Linked DNA regions of Schizosaccharomyces pombe. The gene in region 3 interacts genetically with the main gene of each other region. Each region holds a gene or a part of one and is shown on either strand. Other genes may lie near its edges. The genes, in order: SPOM_SPCC306.07C, SPOM_SPCC417.09C and sap18.

What was found.
Region 1: mutations in sap18 (region 3) and SPOM_SPCC306.07C together harm fitness less than expected from each alone (positive genetic interaction), as found in Schizosaccharomyces pombe (one large-scale study listed by BioGRID).
Region 2: mutations in sap18 (region 3) and SPOM_SPCC417.09C together harm fitness more than expected from each alone (negative genetic interaction), as found in Schizosaccharomyces pombe (one large-scale study listed by BioGRID).

What each region holds. Positions count from the first base shown.
Region 1 is NC_003421.2:418,209-424,719, forward strand, and holds SPOM_SPCC306.07C (U3 snoRNP-associated Cic1/Utp30 family protein), read right to left. Parts: upstream 2,963-6,511; 5' UTR 2,928-2,962; coding exon 2,865-2,927; intron 2,805-2,864; coding exon 2,671-2,804; intron 2,492-2,670; exon of another isoform or gene 2,450-2,491; coding exon 1,792-2,449; 3' UTR 1,421-1,791; downstream 1-1,420. Other genes in the region: family protein BIG1, read right to left, coding at 268-1,111, 1,174-1,265; mdh1 (malate dehydrogenase), read right to left, coding at 3,495-4,520; adenylyl cyclase-associated protein Cap1, read right to left, coding at 6,339-6,511. UniProt on the Schizosaccharomyces pombe protein: Involved in rRNA-processing and ribosome biosynthesis.
Region 2 is NC_003421.2:1,688,849-1,697,220, forward strand, and holds SPOM_SPCC417.09C (transcription factor), read right to left. Parts: upstream 5,737-8,372; 5' UTR 5,585-5,736; coding exon 5,238-5,584; intron 5,089-5,237; coding exon 4,668-5,088; exon of another isoform or gene 4,569-4,667; coding exon 3,979-4,568; intron 3,880-3,978; coding exon 2,934-3,879; 3' UTR 2,371-2,933; downstream 1-2,370. Other genes in the region: dipeptide transmembrane transporter Dal51, read left to right, coding at 6,878-8,372.
Region 3 is NC_003421.2:2,137,693-2,144,136, reverse strand, and holds sap18 (SAP128 family histone deacetylase complex subunit), read left to right. Parts: upstream 1-2,947; 5' UTR 2,948-2,962; coding exon 2,963-3,126; intron 3,127-3,293; coding exon 3,294-3,567; 3' UTR 3,568-4,254; downstream 4,255-6,444. Other genes in the region: putative signal recognition particle subunit Sec65, read left to right, coding at 806-1,028, 1,082-1,458; U5 snRNP-associated protein Prp18, read right to left, coding at 1,871-1,945, 1,991-2,947; SPOM_SPCC126.12 (NGG1 interacting factor 3 family protein), read right to left, coding at 5,010-5,146, 5,212-5,382, 5,435-5,749, 5,803-6,016.

The DNA.
Region 1 (6,511 bases), 1.7 Mb from region 3:
ATGGTTATAAAGTTTGTCTCATCACAAGAAATAAATTCTTCAGTCCAAAAAACTATTTAATAGACTTCAATATATTAAAAAACAAAGATCATTCTAACCATTTGGACACCTAAGGAATTGCGCTGAAAGGTAAAAATGTCACCAAACTATACTTATCAAGAACCATTTATGACAATAATTTTCTTCTAAATTAAGTGTGAGATGTATCAATTATGAAAGAAAGAAATAAATTGAAACTTCTTCAGCTTATTCACCTTAAGAAGAGGTTTATAACTGTTTGCGTCGAGGACTATCAAAAGCGTGATAGCTGATTTGAATAGAGGAAAGTAAACGGCAAGAAATAAACAAAGTTGGAACCAATACAGCCAATGCCAAATAACCCATGTACAAACCAGGAGTAAAAAATTGATATTCGGTAAACAGTCCCGTCGCACCATTGTCGGTGACAGGGTGCTTCCTTGTTTGGTGCATAGCAAGCGTGGTTTGTGATCCCTCATTTTGATCAGGTAAAGAAGCCAATTGGCCGTGTTGAAGAGCACTCTTCCCTGAGTTGAGACCACCTAGCGTTTGAATTACAAATTCAGCATTGGCCTCTTCTTCGTTAGCATCAACCTTAAATCCTTCAAAATCTGAGTTATTCAAAGGAGAAGAGGCTATAATTACATTCCACTGAGCATCTTGTTCCAAGGTAGATTGTAAGTTGTAGAACATTTCATCCAATTCCATTAATTGTGCACTTCTATGATAACTTTCATTTGACAGTTCATTCATGTAAACAACAGTTATGCGATCATTTTGAAGAGGAGGAAAAGCATTAAAGGATCCACCCAAGTAAACTACCTCAACGTCGCAGTTTTGCTTTGCCGAATGCACCAACTCTTGTGAGTCCAAAGACTCCTTGGAATAAGGAAGAAGTAAGCTATAGGGTGATTGCAAAGAAACACGCTTTAAATGTTTAAAAGCTCCCAACTGAAAATCATTAACCTCAAGGCCTGGTTGATGTATAATTAAGGTAGCTGTATTGCATGTCGAAAGTGCCTCAATTGCGGCGTCAAAAAACATCATAGGGCAAGTGGATATTGAAGAATCATCGGATGATTTGGGGAGTTTGCTGTTTTTAGTTAGATTAAATAATTTACACAGTATAATGCCATCGATGGATGCAGGACATACGAGTTCGTAGAAAATAAGAAAATCGGCGAAGTATCTTTAAATGCTGATACTAAAGAAAAGCAAACTATAAATAAAATACTCCAAGAAAACATTTTGACACTAAATTTTCTTTACTTTGGACAAGTTTGGATGTTGTCAATTGCTTGAGCGTTGGAGTGGTAGAGAATAGCTCTATATACTACTTTCAGTATCTAAAGGTACTAAAATCCTTCTGAATGAACAAGCTACATATAAGCAGATAGATTATGTAAATATAACATGTTATTTACGAGAAAAAAATAATACTACAAAACACAAGACGGTGTAGATTTTGTTCCAAAATCATGACAATAGTCCATGACACTTGTTATACACAAAAACCCTTATTTATTACTCAGTCCAAAATACCCGTTTATAAAAGACGTGCCCTTGTAAATCCCTTTTGCTTTCAGCCACTCAAAGCTTTTTCACATAACTAATTAACATCGAAGGAAAGAAATGTATCAGAAATTTGAAACAGGCAAAGTCAAATGGTGTTTATAAATACATTGTCAAAACTCTTTCTTCTAGCCTTAGTAGAAAAATGGTAATTATTTTAAAATACTTTTTTTTTTCAATTTAGGAAAGCGAAAGTCAGTTTCACTTATTCCCTTTGCCTTCTCCAGAAGAACCCCGTTTTTGAGCACGCAGTTCACTTTTCTTAAGAGGTCTTGCATCTTGAATGTGCACAATGTGTCTTTTATGAGCAGCAAGATTGGTGTCACTAGTCCAAATTGGCAGAGAGGCACTGTCAGCTGTTTTAATCGCAACATTATCAATTGCAGACCACCCTTTCGGAATGAAATTAGTTAGCAGACACTTCAATACAGTCGTAATATTCTCCAACAATTGTTCATTGGTTTGAGTGGCCAAACCACAGAGAATGGTATGACTAGTGCCGGCAGATAACTTAAGATAAGTAGAATGAAGACAACGAGCAACTTGATTACGCAAAGTCTCTTTCTTTTGTAAAACAGAAATAGGAAATGGCTTAATTTTTTTCTGTTCAAAAACTTTCCCCATCAATAGGGGGATGTATTTTAATACACGATCATCAACCAAAAAAAGGTTGTGAGAGTCTCGTAGCTCACATTTTTCTCGGATTGTTTTATACTTTAATTTCAATCTCGGGATGCTAAGTACTTTTGTAATGACTTCGTCAAGCCCTTGTTGCTCCACCAGATCTTGATATGTCTGCTGTGAATCTTTCACAATCAAACAAGCATCTGTTACATGCATTATCCTGTGCGGAAGGAATCTGTAAAATAGTTAGTACCTTATAATTTTAATGAAGAACACGCATCGATTCTATGAATGTTACAACAAGCTTGATTTATTAGCAAATCAACAAAACCGTAATACCTCTTTATTTCTGCACAAGCAGTAGAAGCTTAAGGTTTTAAGTAATTATAAGAACAAAAATTTTATTGTTGATCTTATTACTTCAGGAAACTTAATTCATCATTAATGCTCACTTACACTTTTGATGGTCTTCTAAGCGACTCTTTCTCAACGGGTTGGAATGTATTAACCTGAATATAAACCTTTTCTTTTTCAATAGGTTTATCAGAGGATCGAATGTGCTGCAGCAGGGCTCTAATTGTTTTCTCTAGCTATTGATTATTTGTAAGTAAATTGCACGATAATTTGAAATTAAAAAAAAAATTTCTTACTAATTTTATGTCAATTTTATCCAATGACTTTAAATTTTTCTTTTTTTCACTTGTAATCGCCATTTCTATTAAGATGTAAGTAATGGATGGCTTTTTGCAAGTTCAACTTGGGTTGGTCAGAGAAGTTAATATTACAATGCTATTGAAAGTTCTGTAGCATATCATTATCAAAGTTTAGTTTGTAAAGAATTAATCAAAGAACAATTGTTCTGTCTTATATGCCATGGCCTTATTAAATTGATGGCTTTGAAACGATACTAGATAAATAAGGCCAACAACTCAAGAACCGCAAATGTCGAATGAATGGAAAACTTATTATCTATTACTTGTTTAACAATTTTCTTTTAGTGGTTATTGTAAATTTGAATCATCGCTTTTCGCAAAACTCCGCATATTGAAAACCCTCATCTATTCGACTGTAAAAACGGAATTCAATAGATATGAAATTTCTATACAACCGCACATATAAAAGGAAACCTTGTAACATAATTTTTACATTCATACCTACACTATGAATGCAGTATACAGATTACTTTTTGACTAAAGTAAAAGAAATAACACACACGAAAGAAGCAAGAGAAAACAAACATTCATAAAGAATATCATATCATTTCTGTTATTCATAAAAGATTATGCTACAAATTGCTCACCCTTCGTAATGCTCTTTTTCAGCTCACCCAAAGCTACCTTAAGAAGGCTCTCCTCATAATCATTGATTTTACCAACAGGGTGAATGGTGTCAACCCCATCCTTACCCAAAGTTACACGAGAGGCAAAGAAATCAATTCCTTGATCCTTGTACAGAGGGGACTCCACAAAGGTGCATTCCTCAACGCCAGACTCACCAGCCAAAGCACGGAGTACGGAGGAGGCCATACGAGCACCGGCATAGGCCATAGACAAGGTCGCACTTCCAGCACCAGCCTTCGCCTTTACAACCTCATCACCACCAAATTGGATACGGTGAATAAGTGCGTCACGCTTTTCACCAGTCAATTCAACACCGCCTTGGGACAACAAAGGTACGATGGTCGCACCGGAATGACCGCCAACAACAGGAATATGAAGAAGTTCTGCCTTGCCATTAGTGACTTGAGAGGTGAAACGGCTGGCACGAACAGAGTCAAGTGTGGTGACACCAAACAAATGTTTGGGTTGATGAACGCCAACACGTTCTAAAGCCTTTTTAAAGATGGGCACAGTAGAGTTTACGGGGTTAGTGACAACGAGATATTTGGCTTCGGGACAAGTTTCACCTGCTGCAAAAGCAAGGTCCCGCACAATCGATGCGTTAGTAGCAAAGAGATCATCACGAGTCATTCCGGGCTTACGGGGAACACCAGCAGGAATAATGACCACATCAGCACCGTTCAAGGCTTTTTCAAGTCCCTTGTCATCAGGAGCATAGCCAACAACATTGGAAGTGGTATTGATATGTCCAATATCGGCAGCAACGCCAGGAGCTCCCCTAATATCGAACAAGGCCAATTCACTAACCTTATCGTTCAGTTTTAAAAGCATTGACAAAGGCTGGCCAATACCTCCTCCAGCACCCAAAACGGCTACTTTGAATGCGCGACTGGAGGTCGTAGAAAAAGAACGGGGAGCGATACTCTTAAGGGGAGTAAAGTTTTTGAAAGCTACTTTGGCAAACATCTTTGAAAGGTACAAATTCGCAAAGCAAAGTAGAGAACACGGGTATTTAAAAAAAATAGAGAGAGTGTGTGTGAGACAGAGAGGGGGGTAAAAGAAATTTCAATAGAAAATGTCCAGTTGAAAGGTTGATTCTTCTTTTCTTCAGAAGATACTAGACACTATATCAAAAGTTAGAAAAATTTGTTGAAAATAAAATATGTATATATATGCAAACATGAGTAGCCGCATCCTACACCATAACGTTTATACGGACTGACTAGCAAAGCAAAGCTACTCGACATCCTGGTTACAAACAAACTCCTCATGCCGATTCTAAGCATAAAAAAGCATATGCGTATAGCATCTCTTATAAAATATTCCTTCAGAAAGTCCTGTACCTAGTGACCTCGGAGAAACGGGTACGGTACATAAAGACTGGCGTAGCTGTTTATGTCAAGACTTTTTTCCAAAAAAAATATCGACTTTCGTGTGTATAAAAAGGTCTCAAGAGTAGTATTTACGTCGGTTTATTCATTTTTAAAATATTTTTTCTGGCAAATTGGGATGTAACTTGATCGTTTTGCATACTCACTTTTACTTACCTTAAACTTAACAAGTTCGAGGTACGCTTTTGGAAGTCGTTTTAGATACTTTTAGGCAAGGTCCCGAGCTTTGTTGATTATACGTTGACTATTTGGAAGATATGTTGAAGTTGAGAATCACACAGTGAGTTGGTACAGTATATATACGAATTGTGGGGTAGTGCTTACACTCAATATAAGGTTGTAGCATTACGCAATCGATCTCAACGGGCATTAAAGATCGAACGCCGATTTGTCAAGAACGACGACTGGCTAAAATAGCAAACCGCAGGACAGTGCAAAGCAATGCGGAATAAATTCCTAAAACTCGTATAGTGGCTTCTTGCTACACTACTGTAAATATTTGGCAGAAAGAAAAGCTACTGTACTATTTCAACTCTACAATGGAAACAGATTATACAGGCAGCTGTACAATGTAAGAATGAAAGTGACAGTTGTAAAGTTATAGTTCAAGCCTCAAAGAAAAAATATTTTGTATATTATATATATGTATATATGTATATATTTATAGATGAACTCATTCAACTATAAAACTTCCAAAATCTTCCTTTCCTCTTTTATTGAACAGCATGGCTTTTTTTCATAAAAACATAACATGAGCAAAACAGCAATCGAGAAAATGATACCTTAGCTAGAGGATTTGTTTAGACTGAAAAACAAAAACAAAAAGAAGATGATGATGAATTCAATTGGCGAACGGAAGACACTTAAAATCCTTTCGAGTTAAAATCAACAGGGAAAAAGAAATGAGGAAGCGTCATATACAACAGCCTTATCATTGTCATCCATAAATTCTATTTGCACACAAACAATCACTAAATTTAAGCTTCTATATCGTTTAACTCGTAAAATAACCACTATTCGTATGTATGCATGCACGCATATATCATAAAGTCAACGTAGCAATTCGTGGTACGGACAACAACTTTTCCCGCGCATTATCCGATCCCATTCAATATAAAGATGTATGTGGGGAAGTACACATTGAGTCCAAGGGATATTTGGGCAAAAGGTAAATCGCATCGGAAAGTCGAAAGCGAAGGGAAAACAAATATTTGTATCTCTGAAATAAGCCGAAGATTTGATTGATCAATTTTACAAAACATCGAGCAAAGTGTGTCGTTAGTAGCAGTAAAAGAAAAAGATGAAGATGAATAAAAAGCTCTAGACAAATCAACTTAAATCTTTACTATGAAACCGTTAGGAATATAGCTTGAAAAAGCTCTCTGAGAAAAACTTATTCGTGACGTACAATCTCAGAGACAAGCTCTCCCTTTTCATTCACCTTGTGCTTGATCTGCTCGGGAACAGCACGTTCAGCATAATCTCCCTCTTCGTTGGGGACGTTGATGTTCAAGCTTGTTGATTTACTAGTGACAACTTCGGACGACAACGAAGATTTGCTCAAAT
Region 2 (8,372 bases), 450 kb from region 3:
TCCTTAAGGTTGTTATTATGGTTTGAATTAATTAGATGGTAACTGTACTTTTGATTTAGCTAGGCTAGGAAATTAATAAGCTATTGTTCCAGTATACGACTCTAACATGTGGTAACGTATGAGTTTTTTGAGAGCGAAGTATAAGTCTCAAAAAAGATCATTGTTCAAGTTGACAATTGTTTTATCAATATAGTTTGTCATGTAAAGTGAGTGTATATGAAGACCCATAAGTGTGTACTACATGTATGTTATCAATGTAATTTCTAAAAAGCTGCTGTTAATTTTCAACTTTGGTAAGAATCGATGAAAGGCGTTCGTCGTCCAGAGGAAGACAAATTAACAGTTTAGAATGTATTTATTAATTATCCATTTTGTATATACTTTATAATGTTTTTTTTAATTATATCTTACTTGAATTTTGTTTTTCGTTATTTTTAAATTAATTTTAATTACATTTGGTAATTAATTGTCAATTGAAAATTGCAGCATAGGTATTCTTTGCTAATACTAGAAATTTGGTGAGGAACCCGGATTATTCTTAGAAAATACAAAAAAAATACAAAGAAATGAGATTTAATTAATATTTGCGACAGATTGCTTAACTGTTTTTTATATGGTAAGAGAATAGCGGAAATTTTTGATATTAAGTAGATGAAACTATGCAAATTTAAGATAAATAGCATAAGCGTATTTTTTTAGGATATAAAACAAGAATAAATATAAGTTAAAAAAATATAATTAATCCCTTTTACCAACTAGTTTTACAATTTGTATAACACAATTCAAATTCTCGAATAACAGATTTAGTTAACCTTTTACAAAAACTGTGAATATATATCACAAATTTGAGATAGCTTTCAAGAAGTCACTATGTCCGAGTGGTTAAGGAGTTAGACTTGAATCCTGTATTCTAGTCATCTAATGGGCTCTGCCCGCGCAGGTTCAAATCCTGCTGGTGACGGTATTTGTGCGCGGTAGGAGAGTGGAACTCCGACGGGCTCATAACCCGTAGGTCCCAGGATCGAAACCTGGCCGCGCAACTATTTTTTTCATTTGTTTATTTGACTTTAAATAATTTTTTGCTTAGTTGTTGGAATTGAATAATTTTAATGACTTGCAGAGCTCGCTTCAGCTTGAATTGTGAGTTTCTCATCTAATCTTAAGAGTAAATAGTTCAGAAGTGTGAGGACAAGTGATACTTTTAGCATTGGAGTTCTTTGGAAGGTTGTTGAAATAAATCAATGAGTAAACTGGTCAAGGAAAAAAAATCCCTTTTTAGGAAATTCGCATAAAAATGATATCCTAAAGTTGTAACAAGAATCAGAACTTGCAAATATTGAATATCGATCAATGCAGTTTCTCAAGCATCGTGACTGAGAAATTTTTATCCCAAAAGTATAGCATTTTTATGTTACTATCGACATTGCAACTACTGCGACTATTGCAGATTTCTCACTTAGCTGATGCTTTACACTGAACATTGAGGACTATGGGCGAGGTATTCATTCCCATTCATTGCAACGAATATTTGCCAAATGTAGAATCAATTGAATATCTGTTGTGTTTTCCACATAATAGTCTAGCAAATCATGAGAGCTATTTCAAGCTATGCCTTAATTCGAGGTTCTGCAACTGCAGCATCTGTATCGCTCAAACTCAAAAGCATTATATGGCATGGGCACCGGTTTTTCAAAGGGGCCTTATTCGCTTCTAAAGTTGCGTTTAAATATGTGCACCAAACTCCATCTTGCGATTTTGAATGGTAACATAGGTATGCAAAAAAACTCTCTAAACCGAATTCGTTTATCCTATTTTAAGCTCTGAGGAAGCATGATTCCATGACCGAAATATTTGAGACTAAATTGACAAAACTTGACAGTCGAATACTTAGTCATCAAGAGAAGCCTTTTCTTTGGTAGAAAAGTTGAAGAGAAATATACAAAAGCGTTATAATAATTGTTAAATTTTGAGTCAATCAATTAGTTAAATCGTCCAACTAGAAACTCTTTAAGGGAATATTGGCTGAAATAAATTTAAAGAACCTTTATCCATTCCCCTAATGAACGCTATAAAAATCATTTATTACATTATCGAACGTCTACGGCCATACCTAGGTGAAAACACCAGTTCCCGTCCGATCACTGCAGTTAAGCGTCTGAGGGCCTCGTTAGTACTATGGTTGGAGACAACATGGGAATCCGGGGTGCTGTAGGCTCCTTTTTTTTAATCAGTTAGTTGAATTCATTTCTAGTTATTATTTTTCATTCTTGATTGCAGACGCTATCCAGTATTTCCATAGTTATCGTTTACACAAGGAAACTTATATGAGACTGTGAAAGTCAAAAGGACTATACGTTAAAATGATTGTCAATTCAGCTTGTTTATGATACTTAAAATATTGAATTGCTAATATCCATAAAATGAAATAACGAAAATTTCTATCATACTCAGCGAATCGCAACTGTATATGTGTATGTACAGTTTTCTGTTCAATAATTCAACACTCGTCAATTGAAGCCTTTAATTCCTTTAAGAGGGTAATTAGAAACCAAGCTAAAACAATTGCTTCTAATTGAGAACCATTAAAACGGGTTTAATCTAGATAAGACAAAAGGAAAGATACAATAAAGTTAGAAGTAAAATTGTGTTAACAGTTATGCACGTTATGTATTCATTAAAAAATGCAACTGCCTATTTTTTTTATCTTTTGTTTTTTTTTTTTTGGAAAAGGATTTGGTCAAATCAGCATGATTTGATCATATAAAAAAAGGATGCAATGTGACCATGGGAAAAAGGGTTAACTTTCAGTTTCATTTGCTTTAATAGTAAATATGTTCAGTAAGGTAGACCAACTAGGAGAAAAGAATAAGGGTAAATTAAAATATCGACCTTTTTAAAATTCAGGTTTGAGTAGTTTCGAAAGAAAGCCATCATTACATGTCTCCATCGTCACTAGGGAAAATGAAGTTATCAGCGGGGAGTAAAAAGCCAAAACCCTTCGCATCATTGAAAAGTGCCTCTAGTGAGGCATTGATATTTTCATCATTCCAAAGATTTTGTAGGTTGATTTGATTATGATAATCAGCATCTCTAGGGAAGAAAGGCACCTGCGTCGAATAAGCTGGTTCGGTAGCATTAAGCCTTGATTGATATACCTCGCTTTGTTCAGCAAATGCCCGCAAGTTAGTTATGACATCCGTACTTCCTTTTAAAAGTGGAAATCTGTCGGTAACAAAATTCAAAATGTCAATAGCCGTATTCAGTTGTTCGATCGTTTGTTCAGACGGGTTGATTAGAAGATGCACCAGAATGATAAAAGAGGCGGCATGACATGAATGGTAATCCATAAATGAATAGACAGATAGAAATTTGTGCATTCTTAGTAGTACAAGGAGGTCGACAATGTGCAAAGCGGATGAATAGCAGTATGAAATTAACTTATCAGTAAGAAGCCTAGCTCCCTCATCCGTCTTACTATTCATCGTTCTTTCACGAAGCCGGTGTAGTAAGAACGGTCGGCCCATGGCAATTCGAACAATATGATAAGCTAGATGCAAATGAACGATACCTCTGTAAGACCTGCTATCTGGGCCAATGTTTTGTATTTCTAGATCAGGAGACAGTTGTTGGCGCCATGCCTCAATTTCGTTTACAATCTCTTTAATGGTAGCTGCTTTTAAGTTCGCCTTTCCATGTAGCGAGGAATACCACATGTCATAGACTTTATTAGTTAGAAGGGAAATTTTAATAGCTAAGGTGAAGGTCCGGAAGCTGGCAATGAAGTTTTGCGAATCTAAACTTTCACGGTATTCTGGAAAATGAATATCAATTTCGGAACGCACAAGACTCTCGGGCCTGCCCAGAGAAATACCTATTTTTCTAAAAGTTAAACGTTAGCATAAAATAATGAGGAGGAATAATAAAAAATTCTCTTCTTCTTCCCAGACATGAATCTTGGGAAGTTTTCAACAGCCTTACCTTTCCATGCAATATACACTCCAGAAAAGCCGTTTACGAAGTTCAGCAACATCTCCGGAAAATTGAGCATTCGCAGACTTTTTGTGCATACCATTGGCAACAGCAGCTCTCATAGCTATACCAAAGTACATGTATACAACTTCGTGTGCCAATGTTGGAGACAAATACATACCGGCTAGGAAGAAAGACTGTACTGTTTCCAACGACGATTCACTGATGACTTTGGGAAAAAGAAGTTTGGCGTTTTGGTAAAACTGAGAGCCAGGATAAGTCCAACGATCGTGATTTTCATCAGAAAGGAACTCTGGATGGCGAATGTAGGAGAATAGACTGCCCATGGCCATGCTCAGAAGAAGCATACACACAAAACCACCATCTTTTGATTGAAAGGAAGTTGGATCATCGAAAAGATGATGGACTTTTGCAGCAAACAGCTTGGTATTATAATAAAAATGGTTGTTGTCACTAGAAAATTGCCAAAATGTCATAAGTAAATAAAAAGTGATATCCTTTGGGGGTAATGCATGGATTAAAGAGGCGACAGTATTATCGGCGGGATCTAAAATATCTTCAAATGTTTTATTTCCTTTCTATTGAGAAAAACGGGTTAGTAAAGAACAGTAAAATCGATGATGCCCCACAACATAGCAAGGGTATGAAATGAAGTAGATGAATCCATCAATACATACGTTAGTGAGTTTATGCTGCACCTGAAATTCCCTGCCCTGGCAAATGATCTCGTGCACGCGAGCGACGAAGCTTTCGTTAGAGCCGGCATCTTCGTAATATGTCTGTGTCTCATTCAAAGTCACTTGTTGATAGCTTCCAAGTTCGATGTCGGTAAGTACTTTATCAGGATAGGTTTGAAGGCTTTCACTAAGCTCCGCAATCTTTGCTTCCAAGCTGGGCAAATCCAAGCTCATACTTGGCATGAGTTTAGAAAGGATGGTCTCCATATGACTGAGTCTCTGAAGATTGAGAGAAATTTCGTCTTTATTCATAAGCAATCTAGGAGGAGTTTCTATTACGCATTCTAATCCTTTTTTAAGACATCTGCCACAGGGAAAGTTACCGACGCATTTGATTTTATGCTTTTTGCATTCCACACAACTAATATTAGCATTTGAATGAATAGACAAAAAAAAAGTAGAAAAAATAAAACCAAAAAAAAATTGTAAAGTAAGGAAATAAAGAAACAACTACATAATTCAATAGATCAACTAAATAATACGAAAACAATAAATATAGTAATAACAAACAAATCAAGCAACTTTTGGTTGGAATGGCGGCTGATCGAACGCGTACAAACTAAACGTCTTTCAACTCGACCAAAACAACCAGATGCATATTTATTTACATACGCAATAGCTTTTCGAATCCTTTTTGAAGGTGGAATTCGCTCGCCTCTTCTTCTTTTCGGTTTTGAGCCTCCAGCGCTCTTCTTCCCAGTTTCTGCTGTGCTCGCGTTCGCGTTCGCGCTGCTGCTGCCAACAACAACATTACCACCCCTTTCTTCTTCCTCTAGTTGATCCTCCAACTCCATAGCTTCGCTTCTACTCATGCCACTACGACTCCTATCCTCATGGGGCTGCATCCTAGCATGCATGCAGTGAGAATGCAGCGGAACTCAAGCATTTACTATTCTAAGCTATTTATCCAAACAGAAAACCCTCGATTTTTGTGTATGGAATTCACTCCAGCAACTCCAGCTCCAGTTCTCCTCGCTCTCGGAGATCTCGGGGCCCATCCGTTAACAGTGGTTTGCACGTTTGCGTACTCGCCCATTATCTTGGAAATGGCGGCATGCCTAGCAATCCTATCCTGATAGCCCCACGGCTTCCACCGCATTTCCACAATCACTGTGCAATTTTTAGAGAAATATCACTAGCCTTTCTAAATCCGAAATAATGACCTTGATGGATGACACTATCATTTCTTCTTGGTATACCCAGTGTCTTAGTGTATTATATTTCCGGTGGCTATAGCCGACTTAGACATCTATTGCTATCTTGGTGGAATCATATCTAAGCATGGCGAGCGATCAGTACTGTTTTACACTAGTATATGTGGTAAGTGGTGATAAGCTGCGCTATGAGTGCTTGGACGAAAAATTTAAAAAATGAGTTGGGAGCTCGATGTTAGCGTTGGGATGAGGAAAAATCAACGTATGAATGATATGCGTCTTGATTTCCCCATTTCTCATCAAGAAATTCCTGCAAAGTTAGAAATGCAAGACCCAATGTTGGCTCGACTGCTTAGGAAGCGTTTCATTCCATCATTTATTTATTTTATCAAGTATTTACGGTTTTTACGCCCCTGATATCCGATCTTGGATGTTTGTTTAAACGATGAAACTTGACGAATAGATAGGAGACTGACGCATCAACTTTGCCAATTTACCTAACATTATCAAGTTCTCCTATATCTCCGGGCTCAGAAGATCTTTGGAGGAACAATGGGGTAGCACGATATCGGGTATTTAGTGCTAAAACCAGGTAGAGTTGGTAGGTATTGCAATGTTTAATGATAGGTGCAACAGTAGAATTTTTGGTATGTAGGAAAATGTGCGATGCAGTGAACATACTCGAGATTACAAACCGGGTACACCAACCGGAGGGTGGATGCCAGATAACCAAGTCAAGAGCTTGTCTGCCTGGTTTAAAAGGAAGGGATCACCTTGCAATGCTACAAGCCAATTTCATTAGTATATCGATCCTCAATAAGAAAAACAACCCGACTACACTCATTATAAGTGTTGGCGAAAATAGCTTTTACTAAATTTCATTCTCTTTTCCCTCCTCTAATTTTAATTCTTTTTTCTTTTTTCCCTTTCCTTTCTCTACTACTTTTAGACATACTACCATAATCCCGCTTAGATATTTAAGCGCCTAGCGAGAAAATGTCAAGCATCAGTATAGACGAAAAGCTGAAAGATCCCGAGAGTGTCCAAAATAAGGAAATTCTCGATGTCGACGTTGGCGATCTCTCGCCAAAAGGCGTGGATGCTGCTTTCAATTACGCCCTTGATGTCGACTACGATGAGATCGATCCAGAAACGGAGCGTAGATTGGTACGCAAAATCGATTGCACAATCTTCCCCGTCATGTGTCTAGTATACTGCATCCAATTTTTGGACAAAACTTCAAATTCCTATGCCGTTATCATGGGTCTCAAAGAAGACTTGAAGATGGAAGGTCAAATGTATAGTTGGTCAGGTACTGCTTTCTACTTGGGTTACCTTGTCTTCGAATTCCCTGCATCTCTTCTTCTTCAGCGCTTTCCTTTATCCAAGACCTTGTGTGTTTTCTTAGTCATTTGGGGTTTCTTGCTTTGCATGACCTCAGTTGCCAACTATCCTGGCTTTATCGCTCTTCGTGTGCTTCTCGGTATGATGGAATCTGCCGCCAGTCCTGGTTTCATTCTTCTCACTGCTCAATGGTACAAGCGCAGTGAACAACAACTTCGTACTTCCGTATGGGTCGCTTTTAATGGTTTGGGTCAGATCCTTGGTAGCTGCATGGCTTATGGTTTGGCCAAGAGGACCAGTCTTCCCATGAGAGGTTGGAAGCTTATTTTCATTATTTGCGGTGTCCTCGCCATTTTCTTGGGATTTGTCATTCTTGCCGTCGTTCCCGACAATCCTTTCAAAGCCTGGTTTCTCACTGAAGAAGATCGTAAGTTGGTTGTCAAGCGTCTTCGTGCCAACAAGCAAGGTGTTGGTAATAATCACTTTAAATTGTATCAGTTTAAGGAAACCATGCTTGATATTCGTACTTGGATTATGTTTGTCTCATCCGTTCTTTTGAATATTCCCAATGGTGGTATCGGTACATTTTCCTCTCTTTTAATTAAAGGTACCATGGGTTATGATACCCTTCAAACCTTGCTTATGGGTCTTCCTGCCGGCGCTTGTGAATTTGGTGGATTGATCGCCTTTGGGTTTTTGAGTTTGTTCATTCATAAACGTATGGTTTTGGCTACCATCACCACATGTATTGCCTTGATTGGATCCTGTTTGCTTTCTTTCGCTGGTCCTCCTCGTGCACAGCTTGCAGGTTACTATTTATTGATGGTTTCTCCAGGTGCCATGATTGTCATGTTCGCCATCATTTCTTCCAACGCCTCTGGTTATACAAAGAAAGTCACTGTTGGTGTTATCTATCTTATCGGATACTGTGTGGGAAATTTAATCGGCCCTCAAACTTTCAAAGCTGCTGACGCTCCTGAATATATGCCTGCTAAGAACACCATGGTCGGTTGTTATGCAGCAACTTTAGTCACATTTCCTGCTCTTTACTATGTTAATTGGAGAGAAAACAAGCGTAGGGATCAATTGGCTGCGGAGGGAAAGATTGAGCATCGTCCCAATGCTGAATTTGAAGATCTTACAGATT
Region 3 (6,444 bases):
TTCGGAAACCGTGAACTAATTGCTTATTTAATCGTAGTTCGGTTATTCATCATGTGTCCCATTGCGATTTTTTTCATGCCCGCAAAAGGAATATACATGTGTATATACATCATTTTATTAAGGACCATTGTTGTTTGAAGGTATTTTCCTCCCCTTTCATTCATCCATATTCTTACTACCTTTTCGCTTTTCTTTTAAATCCAGCTTCCCTATTATGCCTGAAACCGATCCCTTAAAATTACCGTTTTATTATCTTCAAAAAAAAAAATTAAGTAGAAAATTGTTGGCGTTTACATGATTTTTGTGTACGGCTTCTTCCATTAATATAGTTGATGAGACTTTGTCAATTATCATAAAATACATACATCGTTACATATCGGTTTATTGCTGCGAGAGGGAATTTTTAGCACTCATGCATCATTAGCAACAGAGCGTTTGTATTACTTTAAAAGATATCCACTCAGATTTGTGTTTTACAAGTCTAATTCTTCTTCCAATTTATTTTACTGATTTCATTTGTAGGATTCAACCGATCTCACCTTTAAGCCAATCAGGCACACTCTCTTTCATCGTTTTTTTAATATATTTTGTATTCTTTTAAGATCTTCCCAGTGAATGATACGATTTTACTTTTTTAGTGTTCTTAGTTTTATTCTAAGTTAATCATGAAAAACGTCTTCTTTTTAAAAATAATTGAAATGTTCAGTAGTAAGTTGAAAGTAAAATCGTATTTATCTACTACATACGGTTGAGCAGCATAAGTATGATATCGCATTTGCTGCCAACTACCTCACTCACCATCCACATGCCATCTATCATATTATATCCCATTTACTTTGACAAGAGCCGTCCACGTAGGTTTCGTTGTGTACCAAAAGACAAAGCAATTTTAAATCCGTTAGCTAAAAATATTGCCGATGTTGTTCGCGATTTGGGATATAAATGTAAATTGGAACCATTGAAGACACATCCTGCAGATTGGGTCAATCCAGGTCGAGTCGAAATGGTATTACCTGAAAAAATACAAAGTAAGATTGTTATTAGTTTTATTTTCTCGTATGCTAACTGACTGTGAATGTAGAAAAGTATGTCATAAACGAAATCGCCAAAGTACTACTTCTTCGCCCAACTGTTAAGACAGATCCTTTATCGTTACCTATTCAAAATGTTCCCGCACGTCTTCCTGAAAATCCTCCTGCATATCCTAAGGGGGTTTTAGGAAATACGATTTTACCTCTTCATTCACCTGCTTTATCTGGCGGTGGTATCTCTGAAAATATGTTCCAGGAAATGATGCAGGAAATGCAAAAGCAACCTGGATTAGCTGGAGGTATGAATCCAATGGCTGCACTTGCTGGTATGGGAGGCCCTGCTCCTCCTATGCCAACTCCCCAAGCATCTTCAAGCCAGCGAAAACAAAAGTCAATTGAACCAGAATATGATTTGGATTTGGAGTAAACTTATTGTTTAAAACTGAAATATTAGGAATATAGGTGCTTTCGACTATTAGCAAACGCTCATGGATATTAGTAAATTTTTTTTCTCGTCATCTTTTAACAAAAAATTTTTTCCTAATAATGAGTATGGATGTAGAGTTTCATTAAAGATGAGTTCATTTGCACAGCACATTCTGCTTTTTTAAGACTGAGTTCTGGTGGCATACTTAATATTTTTCTGTCTTTTATAAATGTTTCGCCTCTCGTTATATCAGAAGCTGTTTCATTGTAGTTTCTTTCATGCCAATTCAGAGGCGAAATTTTTGAATATTCTATCATTAGTAAACCATGTTTGACATAGTCGTTTTCAAAAGTTTAGTGTGAACTGTATAATTAAATTCTTTTTCGACAACAAATAGCATCTTTTTCGTACTTCAATCCGTATATTCAGGTAAGTTTGATGACTCTCTTTCCTGAAAAGTAATAAATCGCTTTAAAGCTTGCAAACACTAACATGTGAAAGGTTAGACTGGGTACTTTATCTAAAATCTTACCTTTCTCTTCTTTTCGTCTTTAAGTATATTTGAACTTGGATTTGCTTGTAATCGTTGATGTGCACTTCTTTCATGAATACCAACCATAGTAACTCCAATAGGCCAAGGTGCATTTCCAATTGTCAGACGTAAATACATATCATTGGCTTTGACAAATTCGTGTTTTTGGCATCTGTAACAAATTTCAGCTATGCTTTTAAAAATATCGTCGTTTAAAGCTTCATCGACTATCAGTTGTATAAGTACATCAAGATCTTGCTTAGCTTGACGAAATATTTTTAATTGCATCTGACTCTCAGAACTTTCGAAAGAGTTGATGGATTTTGAAGACAAAAAGTTGTCCCAAATGCGGATTCCATGTTGAAGAAAAGCAACTACTTGCTTGGATACTTTGGGTTTGGTGGTAGTAGCATGCTCAAAGTCGATTGTTTCAACTCCTTTAGTAAGGAGTTCATTTTCAATTTCTTCCAGTTTTTTGTATTTTAGCAAACTGTAATATCGTTGAATGGTAGCCTCTTCTGACTCTCCAAACAAACGAATTGGCTCTTTCATCTCACGAAGCTTTGCAATAATTTCGGTCAACGTGAGGTTGTCTTTTGTGATTTCAGGTATTGATAAACGGTCGTTTTCGGAGACAGATAATTTTGTACTTGCAGGTGACGCTTTGACAGCTGGTGAGGGAGTTGTTGTTTCTGTAAGCAACTCTTCATTTCTACTGCTCTCTTTGTTCGCAAGTCGTGAAATGCGTAACTTCTTTTCTTCATATTTAAGACGTTCTTCTTCCAACTTTCTTTTTTTCAACTCTCTTTGCTCATCCTTTTGTTGTTTTTCCTGCAGATATTTCTTTTCCCTTTCCTTCTCCCAATCCCCTCGTCGAAACGCCTTTTTTACCGGAAGTTCGCTCGTTCCTTCTAGTTGGCGACGTTTACGTTCAATTTCTTCCTTTAAAAAATCCATTTGGGAGGTTTAGAAATGGATATTCGTGAAAGTCGCTCTCAATCTCCTGAATTAAGCCAAAGTGAAGATGCTGTTGGTCCGTGCCCTTTTCTCATTTCAGTATATCATCAGTTCCAAACAAAAAATCATGTTTTAGACATCTTTGAAGACGTGATTCCTTCTATTCAAGTTTATGGATGGTAAGTAAATCGTGTTAACGGGAAAATTTCAGTTGTTGTATATGAACTCATACTTCATTGGGACTACGATTAGAAAATCCGTCAAAGGATCATCCATGAACAATTTATATGTCAATTAGATTTATATGTTTCAAATCTTAAACTTTTATGCTAACGATTAATCTTAGGTTGACCATGACCCTTTATGAACTGGGAGTTCTCATTGCAGATCAACTTCTTTTGAATAACGAAGAAACAAGACATTCTGAATGGTCATTGCAAATTAGAACAATTTTTTACGATAAGTATAAAGATCGCCCGATAGCCAGGGATCTAGGTACTGTTTGTTTGCACAATCCAAAGCTATTTCAAGGCAACAAATTATTGAAAAGAACGGGAATAAAATGCGGAGACAAAATTGATGTTACCATAAAAGAGGATAAAATTAGAATAAAAAAGTGATTCCTTGATCGGATGGTACATATATATTTTTTGGAAGTTTAATGGGTTTGAGAACGATATAAAAAACGAAGTGCATGACTGAAGAATTCTATTGTAAGATTTATTTAAAAGCTTATCTTAATTCTATTTATATACAAAATCATAAACCGCTACAACCCTGTTCACTAATCTCATATTGTATGTTTATAAGCTTTGAAGCTTTGAAAAGATTCGAAGCTCTTTAAGTTGAGAAATTTTTTTTTCCCATACTCTTAAAAAAACCTTTGACGCATTAAGAAAAAATTGTTAGTGTACTTACTATTTTCCTTATTGAGTTATGGAGATATACTTTAGCTCGAGGCCTATCAAGGATTCAGGAATCACTTCTGCTAAATTTATATATATGCTGTAGGAAAAGAAAGCGTTTTTTTTATTATAATTCACATTGGAAAGGATTCAACACTTTAAATAGCAGAATCTTTTATCATTTTTTTTGAAGCGATGGATTAAGCGGTTAATGTTTTCCATTGTTTAATAGCGCTAACATTCGGAAATCCGATTGAAACTATTTTTCAAAAAAGAATTATAACTTCTATTATTAACATGGTTGATATTCGCATGATAAATGCACCATTGATCCTCATAATGTAAATATCTATTCCTTTAAAAATGCTGTCAACTCACCTTTGGCTACTTAACTATTTTCAAAATATAAAACTCGTATTTTTTTTTTGCCTAAATACAATTAAAAAACCATTCGCAACCCATACAAACAGAAAACGGATTGTAAACAGTTAAATTATAATTCAGGCAAGTAACAGACTTAAATATTTATAAAGTTTTATTACAGCCCGATGTTATCATTGCTAGAGTAAATGAACATGAATCAAGGTTACTCCGTTTGCAACAGCTGTAAGAAGCTGAATTGTTATTTTCTGAATCGGTGCTACAAGCTAACAGCCCAAAATCACTTATTATTTTTACAACAACTTTAAGCTGATATCTTCGTTTCATAACTAAATCCAAAGTATATTCCTTCAATTATTTAATTTCATTTAAATTTAATATGAGTATTACAATATGTATAACTAAAAAAAATAAGTTTTCAATAATCTCCTTTAGTATAGGGGTAGTACACAAGCCTGTCACGCTTGCAGCCCGGGTTCGAATCCCGGAGGGAGAGTAAATAATTGAAACTTTTTTATTTAGCTAAACAAAGCTTAGTTTTTGAAGCTTTGGCATCATTATGACCGATATTATATTAGTAAAACATAAATCAAAAATTTCCTAATATACCTGGTTCAAGATCAACCAGTTTGGTTCTCTAAAAAATGTACTTCATATAGAAGAGTAAGAAGAATCTACAAATTATGAGTTTTGTGAAAAGTCAAAATTAATGCAATTTAATTTTAGCATTTCTTCAATTTATGTTAAATAAGTAACAGCTTTTTATTTTAGTAAATCTACATGGTAGTCAAAGGATCAGCATCCATAGAAGATACAATCACATTTGCATCTACTCCTTCTTTGTGAAAGGATGAAGCCAGTTTTTGACACATTACATCCTTTAAATAACCTCTTTCTGTATTGGAATGTCCGCCTACATTGTTGTTAGTTGAATAATATATAATACCAAAGAGGTGAACTGAACAGATTTTTCCTTACATAATATAACTGAGATTCCTTTGGCCATCGCAGCTAAAACTTGATGATGAGACAATTCACCAGTAAAGTAAAGATCTGCATCCGTATTCATAACCACAGATCCACCAGAACCTGCACATAAAGAAACCTTGGAAATATGAGAATCTAATCCGTTAGGTGCACACACTTGGACTACAATCAAATAGGTTAACAATATTAACAATAAAGATAAAAAGAAGCTCACCATATTGCAAGCCGGTTAACTCCTTAGCCCTTTGGACCAATTCACGCAAGGTTGTAGGAATCTTCAGTTCGCAAATTCGACCGTAACCTTCTGCCTCAGCCATGACAGAATTTTGCTGAGTTGGGACCACGCTTTTAATGTTGTTTCGTCCTCCAGCTATACCTTGGGCCAGCCAGTCATTTACTCCATCAACAGCAGCATCAACGGCTGTATGAGGCGAGTAAACGTGAATTCCTTCAGCAGCAAGTTTTAAAAGGCTTCTTTGTTGGGGATCCTCCATCGTGATGGCTTTAAGCCCACGAAAGATAATGGGGTCTAGTTGTGAGTAAGTTGTGTAAACAATAAAAGTAGAAGGTTAACCGCCATACGATATGCTACAATAGATGATACAAGTTTATTTGAAATAGCTTCTTCAGCAACTTTCTCAGTCAAGTCAATCGTCAAAAGTACGGAACTTGCATTTGTTCTTGGGAAAGGAGCCTCAAGCAGAAGCCCAGTGTTGTCCCAAGAATCCGCCAATTTTGGATTATAGATGGACTCAACTACTTTTTTTAATTTGGAAGAAATATTTGCCTTAGACATATTTGGGGAAAGATACCATTAAACGCAGTGATTCCTGAACGACCGTAAGACCACGTTTACGACAACACTTAGTCCTAGGATATGCTTTCTCAAATCTGCTAAATTCTGTAGAGCATGAAGGAATTCTAGCAACGCGTAGCAATACACAATTTTAACTATGCAGTCCTGCGTATCGGTAAAAAAATATTGAACTGCATAGCGAGCATTAAAAAACGATTAGGTAGTACTTTATTATTTTACCGATATTTTTTTATCTATCCTAATACAGCTAAAAAAATCTACGCTTGCAAATGCCTCTATATAAGAAATGCTGAGTGTTAATTTCACAATTTGAATATTTACTTTGTTTATTAATTTCCTCTGTTTATAGAAAATATTTTTTCAGTCAAAGGAAGAGGCCATAGGCATTTCTATCCCATTTGTAAAAG